Linked DNA regions of Mus musculus: all the other regions are reported to be linked to region 2. Evidence: microRNA targets listed by miRTarBase, many of them from high-throughput screens and not tested one by one. Region 2 holds a microRNA gene; each other region holds the end of a gene's coding sequence.
What was found. The annotated mature microRNA mmu-miR-340-5p reads UUAUAAAGCAAUGAGACUGAUU and lies in region 2 at 2,068-2,089, opposite strand. An mRNA with a match to its seed (bases 2 to 7 or 8) in the 3' UTR can be bound and repressed. Matches are read on the target gene's strand: a 7mer-m8 pairs with bases 2 to 8, a 7mer-A1 pairs with bases 2 to 7 and ends in A, and an 8mer does both.

Region 1: miRTarBase lists Kcnj3 as a target of mmu-miR-340-5p. The part of its 3' UTR that is shown has no 7-base or 8-base seed match.
Region 3: the mRNA of Mga is a reported target of mmu-miR-340-5p. The part of its 3' UTR that is shown has no 7-base or 8-base seed match.
Region 4: the mRNA of Has3 is a reported target of mmu-miR-340-5p. Seed matches in the 3' UTR shown: 7mer-A1 at 486-492 and 7mer-m8 at 423-429.

The regions. Positions count from the first base shown.
Region 1 is chr2:55,595,131-55,598,365 of GRCm38, forward strand. Kcnj3 (potassium inwardly-rectifying channel, subfamily J, member 3) reads left to right here. Exons shown (of 5, transcript NM_001355118.1): 5 at 1-3,015. The coding sequence ends at 267. Among named protein-coding and RNA genes, the nearest start is that of Kcnj3, 160 kb to the left of the region's middle.
Region 2 is chr11:50,068,809-50,071,808 of GRCm38, reverse strand. It overlaps Mir340 (microRNA 340), which reads right to left and starts at 2,107; the gene lies at 2,010-2,107. It overlaps Rnf130 (ring finger protein 130), which reads right to left. Exons shown (of 9, transcript NM_021540.4): 3 at 388-638.
Region 3 is chr2:119,964,676-119,967,891 of GRCm38, reverse strand. Mga (MAX gene associated) reads right to left here. Exons shown (of 24, transcript NM_013720.2): 24 at 1-3,216. The coding sequence ends at 2,927. Among named protein-coding and RNA genes, the nearest start is that of Mapkbp1, 6.4 kb to the left of the region's middle.
Region 4 is chr8:106,878,286-106,881,505 of GRCm38, reverse strand. It overlaps Has3 (hyaluronan synthase 3), which reads right to left. Exons shown (of 4, transcript NM_001331048.1): 4 at 1-3,220. The coding sequence ends at 2,678. Among named protein-coding and RNA genes, the nearest start is that of Has3, 9.1 kb to the right of the region's middle.

The sequences.
Region 1 (3,235 bases), not on the chromosome of region 2:
AAAAAACTTCTGAGAATGAGTTCTACAACCTCAGAAAAAGCCTATAGTTTGGGTGATTTGCCCATGAAACTCCAACGAATAAGTTCAGTTCCTGGCAACTCGGAAGAAAAACTGGTTTCTAAAACCACCAAGATGTTATCTGATCCCATGAGCCAGTCTGTGGCCGATTTGCCACCAAAGCTTCAAAAGATGGCTGGAGGACCTACCAGGATGGAAGGAAATCTTCCAGCCAAACTAAGAAAAATGAACTCTGACCGTTTCACATAGCAAAACACCCCTTTAGGCATTATTTAATGTTTTGATTTAGTATTAGTCCAATATTTGGCTGATAAGATAATCCTCCCTATGAAATCTGAGAGGTCTATCCTAGCCTGGCAAATAGATCAGAGAACTCTTCATTGAAGTGTTATTATTGTGCTGAACATAAGTTATGAAGGGAGGACATCATAAGGAAGCTACTAGTCGGCATGTATTATCACATCAAGCATGCAATAATGTGCAAATTTTGCATTTAGTTTTATGGCATGATTTATATATGGCATATTTATATTGAATATTCTGGAAAAATATATAAATATATATTTGAAGTGGAGATATTCTCCCCATAATTTCTAATATATGTATTAAGCCAAACATGAGTGAATAGCTTTCAGGGCACTAAAATTACATACATACATACATACATACATACATACATACATGCATATGCACAGACACATACACACAAATACTCATATATATAAAACATACCCATAAAAACATATATATCTAATAAAAATTGTGATGTTTTGTTCAAATTTGTATTTCTTGTGCATGTTTACTTTATTAGACTAGAAAGGCTGCTGGCATTGATTATGAATACCAAATATTTTAGCCTTAAATTATTTGTTACTTAAAAATCTGATTTAATGTTTTCTGCTGTTGCCGTCATGGAATCTTTCAACTGTACTTTACCATGAAAAGATAGCAGAGATTGGTGGTGTCAAATGACACCACAGAGACATCATTATTATGCATTTAATTTGTAAATTTTAGAGTGTGCTGGTACATAGCACACATCACTGAACTTTTCTTATGATTTTTAGAAGTCACTAGAACTTGGGTGGGGGAGGGGTTAGTAAAAGTTAGTTAACTCATCGATTCTGAAGCTAACTAATATCTGGAATTTGGTTTTGTACTCTAATAAAACTACGGGCTCTGAACAAATGCGGAATCATTGGAAGAGTCAGTAGCTTATTGTGACTATGTCAGAGTCTATGTGAAACTGACAGGGTAAACAGTGCCTGTGGCCAAATGAGTTGGTTGCCAATGTTTTCTTCTTTTTTCCGGATCTTTTGTCATCCATAAAGACTTGTAGATATTTCAGGAGACATGACAGCACAATGAAACAGATGATAAATTCTTTTGCTGGAAATGCATATGCCTAACAGAGACTCCCTTTACACTGTTCTCCTGTTTCTGGCATTTGTTGTGAAAGGAGAGACTATTTACTGGTCTGGAAACCTATTCCAGGTCTGTCACTCAGAGTTTAGCACAGACCTGAGAGAAATTAATATCAAATGATCTGACAATGTTTGTACACTCAGGATTTTTTGGTTTTGTCTTGGTGTTGAACAATTCTTTTATTGTTGCCTTGAATCCCTGGCCTCAGAATAATTTTAGTGTTACTAGCTTTCAACCCCCAACATCTGACTGGTATCAAACTTGGTCAGAAGTATACCTTGAACACAAAGCTTTAGAATAAAAAAGTTTTTTGAAACTGCAGAAGTACTTCTTTGCATACTAATGTAGATTTTCCTACACAATTTATGAGGGATTTGTAATAATCCAACTTGGCCCAGAATTGATTTAACTTTTCATTAATATATAAATCACTGATGGTTGGTTTGAGCACACAGCATTCCTTATTGTTTAGTGATCCTGCGATAATTTTATTAGAGGCAAATTATTACATCTACAGTATATCATCCACTATATCTTCTGGCTACCTCTGTATCAACCAAATTCTGTAGGTGCAAACACATAACAGGGAATTACTACTGGAGAAATGATCAACATTAGCATCCATCCACTGTGAATAGAGCAGTTGCCCTACCCCTTGATCACCAAATGTTCTTATTTGCTACATGGAGGTGATGAAATATTAGCAGACAGAAAAAGGGGACCAGTGGGTATCGTATATTTAGCAGTGGAGGAAGCTGCATAGATCATTTAGTCCAACACCTTAAAACTATACAGAGCCATAATATTCTTCAGAGAGTCATTTTAATTTGTTTTTGGTATTGCAAAGAACCAAAAACATGCTCTCTGAATTTATTCATTTAACAAAATTTTTGCATGCCTTCTTTGACCTAGGCATTGTTTTTGTTTCTGTTTTTTTTTTTTGTTTTTAGTTTAGTTCCTGGGGATTTAGACATGTACATGGTATCAGCAAGAGAAAGAGAGAGAGACAGAGAGATACAGAGAGAGACACAAGAGAGACACAGAGAGAGACACAAAGAGAAACAGAAACGGAGAGAGACAGAGACACAGAGACAGCAAGAGACACGGAGACAGAGAGAGACACAGAGAGAATATTCAGTAGTCAACATTTCAATTAGAAAAATGAAAACAAGGTAGTAATGGAAATGGGTATAGGATGATATGTATTCAGAATATGATATTTAGGGAGTTGATTAACATTAGGAGTGAAAAACCTGACGAGAAAGAGCCAGTGTTGCCAAAACTCAATCCAAGTGATCAGTACACTTTGACCTTTTCCGCATACGTGTGGGAACAGTATGATTTCTGCATGTACTTGCAGTTTAATCCCTATTCCTAGGTTGATCATAGGATCCAGTCTGCCCAGGAAAATCGAGGTTTATACTTGTTGTACTTGTGTAATTATAAGTAGCCCTCTCTTTAAATCCTATTATGTCCTGGTTTGGATGATATATGGTAAAGTTTTGTTGACACTAACAAAATTATTGAGTCTAATATATTTGGAAAAATAAAGAATTGCTTTCTTCTCCTTTTCTTGATTTTCTGTTTTTGTTCACAGACCATTTTGGGAAAACTCATTCCACTATCACCTTTTTTTGAGCCTCAAAAACTTCTTAGAAGAGAAGTTTAATCAGCACGTGACATGTCTCTCAGGTTCCAAAGTTATAGTTTTTTAAAAGCATAACATATAACATAAACCACACTATTTCCATTTTAAGAAGTTGTAAGAGATACAATTAAAAGAACTGAAAGT
Region 2 (3,000 bases):
CACACATTCTGGCCTAACTAATCTGGGGTTTTTGTTGCCCTTAAGGATACTTCTAAGCAGTTCTGGAGAACCTGAGAGAGCCGATAGGTCAGGAAATGTACTGAAAGGACATTCATTTACTGACTTTGATAGTTACAGTGTGATTATGTAGAACAACATTTTCTTTCATTTCTTTTTCTTTTTAAAACTGAGATAGAATATGGCCTGGAACGCCTGCGTAGTCCAACTGGCCTCAAAACCCCGAGTGCAGGTATTACAGGGTACAGCACCATACTTGGCATGTTTTTATCTTGTTGTTGTTGGTCTTGTTTTTAAATATATGACATAAACAAGTATTATCACAAGATCCTCATGGATTACGGCTGGCTAGAGTACTGGTTAGCTCACCTGGTTCCTGTCCCGAGCATTTGTGTACCTGATCTTCTGAATGAAGTAGAATATGAGCCACGCTGAAGAAATAATCATCAAAACAATAAAGGAGATTGACACGAAGACTAGAGAGCCACGGCTGAAGTTCTTTGGCGGCATTCGAGTTCCAACAGCTATTGTCATTTGTACAGAGATGTTTTTCTCCAGATAACTCAAAATATCCTTACCCCTCAATTCTGTTATCATGACAGCAATAATATCTCCCGTGCCTGTAATGTAAAACAAATACACAGACTAAAGTGACATCTGAAATTCATAGACACATCAAATAAATATACACATATGCTCCATAGAGAAATTACCATAATTTTCACTAAGGTTTATAGATTCCAGTTCAACTGACATGAGGCTGCAGCTGTGTAAACTGACAGGCATGAGAACATGTACAGTGCTCCAAACAGGTAACGCATAAAGCAACTGTGGTGTTAACAATGCACAAACTGCCTTACCGGTGCATTAGAAGCACTGTGAAAGCAGCCACCTGTGACTAAATCAGGTTAAGTCTTCAGTAGAAAACCTTTCTATAGCAATCAATCTGGAAAGTTCTGACAGAGAAGCACTGTCATTTACAGTCTGAACAGGTGGTCCTTGCACTACTCATCCTCACACGCACTGCTGAGCAAGGACTGCTCTAAGAAACAGAAAGAAGGGTACTTCTTAGGGCACACACTTGGCTATGGAGTGACAAGTGCCGAACGGCAACATCTTTTACCAACAACCTTTGAAACTAACTTTGGTCTTCTGTCTACAGTAAAGCTCCTTCCAGGGCACTTCTGGAGCTCAAACGCAACAATTTTCCCACCCAGTTTGGAGCCAGCATCTCACATTGCCTCGGCTAGCCTCAGACTTGAGTTTTATGTTAGTTTTCCACCTTGTTTAACCATGCCCAGCGCACTCAAATCCTCTAGGCAGGCCCAAGTTTCAACTTTCTGGACTACTACCCATAATGATACCTAAAACCTTCAGTTCCTAAAAGCTGTTCAGAGTTCTGCCCACAGGCACAACTTTTATAAGTTAATTACAAGGATGGTTCAGTTGTGTTTTCAAGTCCTTTTCTCACATGGCTTCAAGGGCCTGTTTTAAGTCAGAGTGAGCAGCTACTCACCAAGGTCACTTTTGTGAGTATGAAGGAGGATTGTGCATCCAAACACAAAATACCCTCTCAAAACAGCAAGCAGAGACCCCAGACCTGACCTTTTGAAGGCTCTGTCAACAAATATTAGAAACACTTGTTTTGATTTCTTGTTACCTTTAGCAGTCAAGATGAGACACAACAGAAACTCAGTAACAGAAGTTTTGAAAAAAATATAGCTCAATGGAATATATATTTGCATAATACTGTATTCAAAACGGTTTATTCACTTTATTAGAGTAGTAGTTTACCAGTTTATTTTTGCTTAAAAAATCTATAAACAAAAAGGAGACAACAAAATTAAAACTAGCATTATTAAGTTAACATCTGCCTCTGGTGAGTGAGTTAAAAAGAATCATAAAAGAATGCTAAACCAGTTTAAATTTCCATTTAGAAACCTTAAGTTTGTGCTTTTACAATGTTGATCAACAGGCATGATCTGTGGTGTTAAGATACCAGGTATGGCTATAAAGTAACTGAGACGGATCCCACAAACGACATATGACAATCAGTCTCATTGCTTTATAATCACACCAAGTACAATTGGTTTTAGAAATCAGTTCTGAGGCTCCCTCTTGAAGACTCAAGCTGGAAGTGGGGAGAGCTGCACAGGTAGCCAAGGCAACCAATCCAGTAATTTCCTTAACCGAACACTAAATGGGCGCGTCAACTAATCTCAACAGGAAGCTGTTTGGGAAAGAAAAATTTAATTAGTTCAACACTTGTCAATATTCACTGTTAGGAGGACAAGAGTGAATAGATCTCACTGTAGCTTTATCATCCTAGCAAAAAGAGGAGACTGGGCAATGTTGCCAAAGGAGACTGAAAATGATCAAATAAAAAAGTACAGCAGCACATCTGATATTAGTGAAGGCAGTGATCTCTTACAGAAGGTGATGAAGCAAACTACAAACCCTCCTAGGAAAAAAGTTTCTTTCTCCCCAACATCTAGAGCTGGGCTGGGTTCAAAGAGCCTAACAAGATGGCTCAGACATTTACAAATGGGGATGGGACTAAAGAGATGGCTAAGAGCACTGGTTGATCTTGCAGAGGACGAGGTTTGGTTCCCAGCATCAATATGGCAGCTCATAACTACTGTAACTCCAATTCTAGAGGGAACAGACACTCTCTTCTGGCCTTCGAGGGCTCTGTACACATGGTGCACATAGACTCATGCAGGTATACACACACACACACACACACACACACACACAATAAAAAAGTAAATAAACCTTAAAAACAAAACAAAAAACTCTTGGGAGAGTTGGTGCAGATTCAGGAGGGATGATGACAACAGAGGAAACTTAACCCTCAGGATAAAACTAGGATTAGAGTAGCAGTAGCTGGTAGGAGAGAGGGGTTAATTAGACTGAAGTAATGGAAACATTAAACAGATACAAAGAATGTGACCAGATCACCCCTATGCCTGTGTTCTGAAA
Region 3 (3,216 bases), not on the chromosome of region 2:
TACCAAAGGTCTTCCCAAATGACAGATCGAAAGCTTTCCAGTCAAGAAGCTTCAGAAAAGATCTCTTCAATGGAACCCTCTCTCAAATATGTCTGAGGGCATAAAGAATTCTTCAACCAGGCACAAACCTCCCAACACCAAATTCTGCTTTAATTAGTATAATTGGTTTATTTCAGGTTCACATGTCTTGCCTTTCAACTGCCAAACTTCTGTTATTTCTAAAAAAATAATCACTTTCAAAAGCAGAAATTAAAGATATATATTTAATATATAAAAGAAAATGCTAAATCTGACATAATTATATCCTTAAAAACATTCCATGTATTTACAGGTGTATAAAAGGCGAGTTATTGGTCGACTGAGATCATGCTTCTTAGTCAGGGTGGAGCTTTTTCCAGGTTCCTCCAATGTTCTCACTTGAATTCACTTTTCATAATCATACATATAATTTTAATAGATCAGTTTCTCCTAATGAAATGCTAAAGGGTAGGAGTTTAGGGAGATTTTTTATTTTTGTCAAGACTACATGATTGTTCTAAAGACTAAACCCTCCTCAAATTCGGCCTGATAGCTCCTAAATTTGTCTTAAGAACAATGTATCTTGGGAGTTTGTAATGACATCTGCAGCTTTCCCTGAACCAAATCTCATCTCTATCTTTGTACATCTTTCATAAACACAGGCAAGTATCTTCCAATAAAGAATAAACCCTGACCTGTTTTTTTTCTATGCTTTTTCAAATTTAAAAAAAAAAGAAAGAAAGAAAGAAAGAAAGAAAAGGAAAGGAAAGGAAAGAAAAGAGAAAAAAGTATTCGGAAGCCACAATGGTCCATTGTTTCCTGAGGATTATTCACTCCCTTGTTTTGTTTCTTGTCTGACTCTCAAAACCCAAAAGGGCTCTGGGAAGCCAGAAGAACACTCGGGAAAGAAACAGGCAATAAGACCACTGGAAACTACTATACCTGGGCTAAAGAACTAGCGTCTCTGAGGACAGCTGCTAGCAAGGGCGACAGGTGCTGCACTCCTTGGCTAAGGCATTGGATAAAGTCAGTTGGGTAAAGGACAGAAGGGACAGAGGAGAAGCTGAGGAATACTGTTTTTACTTTATCAGCTTTTGTAGTAAACAGGAAAGGTTAAGTGCTGATGACCTGTCTAGAGCAAGCAGCGCAAAACCAATGAAAGATTTACTACCACTGCCATTTGCAGTGTAAGTTTTTCATCATTTCAATCTAGTGATTATCAGAGTTAATCTAAAAAGGAAATCAAACATAGAAGTAATTCACTGGCTAGATTCATTCCAAAGTTGGTCTCACAACCTAGGTCAGAGGATACAGAGTGGGACTTAGGATAAAGACGCAGTAGTGTAAAAGAAATACAATCACCCAGGCACAGCCCAGGCACCGGAAGCACTTGTGTTAAAGTGTTTTTACAACACAAGCAAATCCTGTCATTGAAGACAGAACGGGTTACATTCCAAAATATAATTATTTAAGAAAGGCAAATGCAGCAGCTACATCTCAGTCTATACATTTTCAGAACAGTGATTCTTGCCTCACGAGTTCCCGAGAGACCCCTCAAATGCACCATGATTATTTACAAACTAGATAGGAAACATTTCTATACTCAATACAAATCTCTTCTAGGTCGAAAACTTCATCCTTTGAGAAATCTATGAAAACAACTATACAAAAATATAAATATCTTCATCTTTACAGGTTGTCAGTCCTTCATACCCTGACAGCCAATGAGTGAAAAAGCTCTACAGATCATTGATGCCATGATAGCAGATAAAAAATATACTTTGTGACTCAAATACTGCCTTACTTCCCTGGTAAAGATTGCTCACTCTGACTCGCCTTTTCTTTACATCCTGTGCAGGTGACAGTGAACAAAACCTTCAAGCACCTAGAGGCTGGTTTCATTTGGGAAATACCCAGCCCCACAAATTTTTATTTTGGCTACGGTCTCTGGTTAGGGGAGAAACTGCTTTTCATTTTAGCTGTTTCTTGAGTGACATGATTTGGGAAAGGGAAGGGCTGCCTCTATGTCTACTTCCAAAAAACAATGAGTAGAAATCTCTGGTATTATGAATGAATCTTTGTGATACCCCAAGAAATAAGGGAGAAGTATGTCTTTTTTAGTCTCTGAAAATAAGTATGTTAATAGTAAAAGTAAAAAGTATATTCCTACTTTACCAGAAAGCTTAGGTTTTTAATTATGACTGAAAGGGTAAGGGAAGAACTATTCTGGATATGAAACAGTCTGCTGAATGACAAAATCCCTTCACTTTGGTATTCCATAATATTCATCCTACCTACTATAACATTCTCTCTTCCTACTCCCCTGGCCCCCACAAGTGTGTATGTGTGTGTGTGTGTCTGTCCCCTTGATAGGCCAGGGTAGACACAAACTTGCAATCCTTCTGCTTTAGTCTTCTAAGTGCTGGAATTACAAGTGTGCACTACCATGCCCAGTCCTACCATGCCCTACTATTGAAATAGTAACTAAAAGTTCTTTTTTTTTTTTTTTCCCACACAACTGTATCATAATTCTCAGATTTTGGAGCCAACAACTATGACTTATACTTTAGTCTATAGTAATTCCAAGTCTCAAGCATTTTCTCAGGGGAAAATAATAAGGTAGTTGATGGAGCCAGAATCTTGTTATGAATTCCTTGGGCAAGAGGGAATCACACCTTCTTAGAGAAGATGAGGGGACCCAGCACCACAAGTGAGGTAACACATTTTTAACATGATCAGAATTTCAAACACCAGGACCAGCACCCTACACCTCCTTTCTCCATCAATATTCACACATAATTAAGTCAAGGATAATAGTTCCATAATACAAACAAACAGACGCCTACAGAGAAAGGAGGTGAAATTCATTTCCCCTCACAGCCTGGCTTTTGTATGAGGATGAACAAGCTCATTTCCCTGATGAACTTGATGGAGCTCCAGAGTTGCCCAATTTAGGTACAACAGGTGCCAATGTAGGCATCACCTTGCTCCCCCGGCCTTCCTGGTCAATTCCTGCTAAATTCATTTTGTGTCCAATTGACCCAACTTTGGCAGCTATAGGTGCCAAGGCAGGCATCACCTTGAGACTCTGACCATCGGCATCACTGGGGGGATTAGCTACTTTTAAACCTAATGGGGCCAACTTTGGCATAGGCCTCCACAAAGTATCTGTGTTGCTGTTCTCCGGGCCAGTCTTCA
Region 4 (3,220 bases), not on the chromosome of region 2:
GTGAAGCAGAGAAGGATCATTCTGAGAAGGGTCCTGGTAGAGTTCTACACTTTCTGAGGTGTTCCTATGACCTGTCTGGCAACCTGGAGGAACAGGGGCACCTCCTGGACTTTGCAGGTCATAGGCAAGGTGAAGGTAGAACCGCGGATAAAAGCTTAGCTGAAGAAGATGAGCTCCAGCTGCACACCTGTACACTGTGACTTTGCTTAAGAGTCACGAGGCCTGTGCATTGTGCTCAGTGGCTGTGCCAAGAGCATGATATGAATATTATCCTCCTTTCTGATTCCCTCCCACCCTTAATGTTAAATAAAGTTCCCTCCTTATTTAATAAAAAAGCAGGAAAAAATATATACAAATTATTGTAGAAATAATACAAAAGAGGCTGAAATTGTCAATGAGGAAAACCAAAATGAGTCTAATTGTATAAAGGCTCTTCCCTTGCAAGAAACAGGGATATAGCTGTAGACCCAGTTTAGTTTTGCTGCTTATAAAATAAATTAGGAAATCCAGTCGAGGTCAAATGTTGTAAGCTCACTACTGTACCTGCATCTTTAATCTGAGGAGAGTTGACCACAGTGCAAGGCAGAGAGCTGACGGTAGACAACCAGTTTTCATCCAGAGTCCATTGTCCTGTAACCTTCAAGTAAAAGCTGAAGAAAAACAAGCCCTTAGTCTGAGCCCCGAAGTTGACTGGATTGTCTCCACTGTAGTGCTCAAATAGTTCACTTCTTAACAGAAGGCCCCAGAGCAACTGCCTGTCACAAACGGCTGCTGCTCCTCAGCCACCATGAGTTGGGCCTCACACCAGCCAGCAGTTTTCCTAGCAACTTGAGGTTTGTGTGCTGTGGCAACTGTTAGCTACACCTGGAAAACCCCTTTTGTTCATACGAGGAAGGGAAATACAAGGGATGGCCCATTGGTGGTTTGGAGTGCACTTCATTCTTTTGTAGGAAGCACCTATGTACACTGCTCTCCAACCCAGTTGCTTCTGAGGGTTAGCTGGTCCCTCAGAGAACAAATGTTCAGGGAAATTGTAAGTAGCCCACAAAGTCAAAGGCTTAGTCACGAGCCCACGCTTCAATGCCAAAGCAATCTGGTCTTGACTTCAAAAGAGTGTAAAAGCTTCTCCTCGTTCCTCAAGAGAAACAAGGAAATCGGCAGCCAGTGAGGGCTGTAAGAGGACTGAAGACTGTTGGACCGGTTCCAGCTCCTACTTTGGTTTCTGGACTGAAGCAGCAAATGGAGGTGCATCTACTATTCTAGCCGTAGAATTCCTTGGAGAAGCCACTGAGAATGGATGCTCTCAAAGATGACCAACATGGATCTGAAGGTTCATTTGGGCAACTCCAGAAAGCTTTCCTTTGGGAATGATTGTCGAGAAAGTTACAGATGCTAACTAACCAGCTGCCGAAGTCCTGACCAGTCCTGGACGATGAACAGTGTGGCCAGAGGCTGTTGTTACGTCCATGCATGTAGGGAACAGCCTTGAAAGCCTTGTAAGCGTCTATTCTCTACCATGGTCACATGGGAATTTACCCATGAAAATGAAGAGGTAACTGCTGCTCTCCCCACCAGAAAACAACAACTAAGCGACATGCGCGGCTCTGAAGAGATTGAAATAGCAAGCAGGATGAGAGCCATATGTGAGAGGCATTCAGGTAGGAATGAGCTAGAATAACTAAAGACTTCTTATCTGAATCCACTGGGGTTGAGTCTTCCCGGTAGATGGCTAAAACATCCAGTCTGCCCAGCAAGTTCTCTTGACAACTTGGGGAATTTTGTAAAAGACCAAGCAGTTTTCAGTTGGAACACATTCACTCCAAGGCATCCATGGTTTTTAGCACCAACGCAATCTTTGATCCTCCCGTCAAACCATTTTTGTATGAGACAGTCAGGATCTCATGTAGTCTAGCCTAACCCTGACCCTCTCATCTCTTTCTGCTTCTAAGTGCTGGGATGACAAATGTGCAGCAGAACAACTGGGCGGCTTTTGTTTGGTGCATTGCAGACTTTGCTTTGTACTGTGCACCCAAAACAGATAAAATCCCCACCAGACTCATTCCTTACTTCTGGTGACTTGGCTCATCCCTGGGATGTTTTGGTGTGGAGTGGAATATATTAATTACATAAAGCACCATTTCTTAGACCCTGTTTTTTGACCAAAGGTCAGGCTTCCCAGCCTCATTATCTCAGGCACAGTCTTAACGCATTGATGGCTAATCGGAGGTTAGGGAAATGGGACAGTAGCCGGTATGGGACAGTAACACTTGACAGGAACTCCTTGTCATGTTCAGCTGGGCTAGGAGGATATATTCTATGAGCTGTCATTGCTTGTTTCTGTACCAGAAGTTGACATAGGATGGAATTTAGCACTTATTTTAGCACACTTCTGGGTTCTCAATAGTTCCCAGGAAGAAGTAAAATCATTTCAAAGAGTTCACTACCTGTGCAAGGGCAGGCAGATGAGCAGCCTAGAAACATACAAGCCCATCTGCCCAATGCCATGCTTCTGCTGAGCAGAGCTACCCAGGCCATACCACAGTCACTATTCTTTGCGTTTCAGATCGGTCCTTTCAGCCATGAAACTAGAACACAACACACCCTCCTCCCTCCCACCCCATCTTTTCCATTCCCTCCCTTACCCATTGCACATTTCCCACTTTACTTGGAGGTTATATCACACCTCCGCAAAAGCCAGGCTATACTGTTCTGGCTTCTTCCCACACCTCCGGGCAATAATGGCCAGATACAGCATGAGGAGGGCCACCCAGTAGCAGCCATACAGGATGGCCCCAGAGACTAGGAAGGCTAGCTCGGTCTCACTGAACAGGTCCTGGCAATAAGCTGTGTAGGCTAACCCCCCTAGAAGAACTGCCACCCAGATGGACACGGGGATTAGGCCAATGAAGTTCACGACAATGGTTTTCCTGCCAGAAGTGCCCCAGCCAGACTTGTTGATGGTAGCAATAGCAAAGATCTTGGCTGGCAAGAGGCTGGACATATAGAGAAGGGAGTAGAGGGACATGAAGATCATCTCTGCATTGCCTCGAAGGAAGCAGGCATAGGTAGCCTTGATAATGCCCACCAGCTGCACTGTTAGCAGGAAGAGGAGAATGTTCCAGATGCGGCCACGGTAGAAAAGTTGTATGACTGTAGCAATGAGGAAGAATGGGAAGAAACCTGTGACCACTGATTCATAGGTCATCCAGAGGTGGTGCTT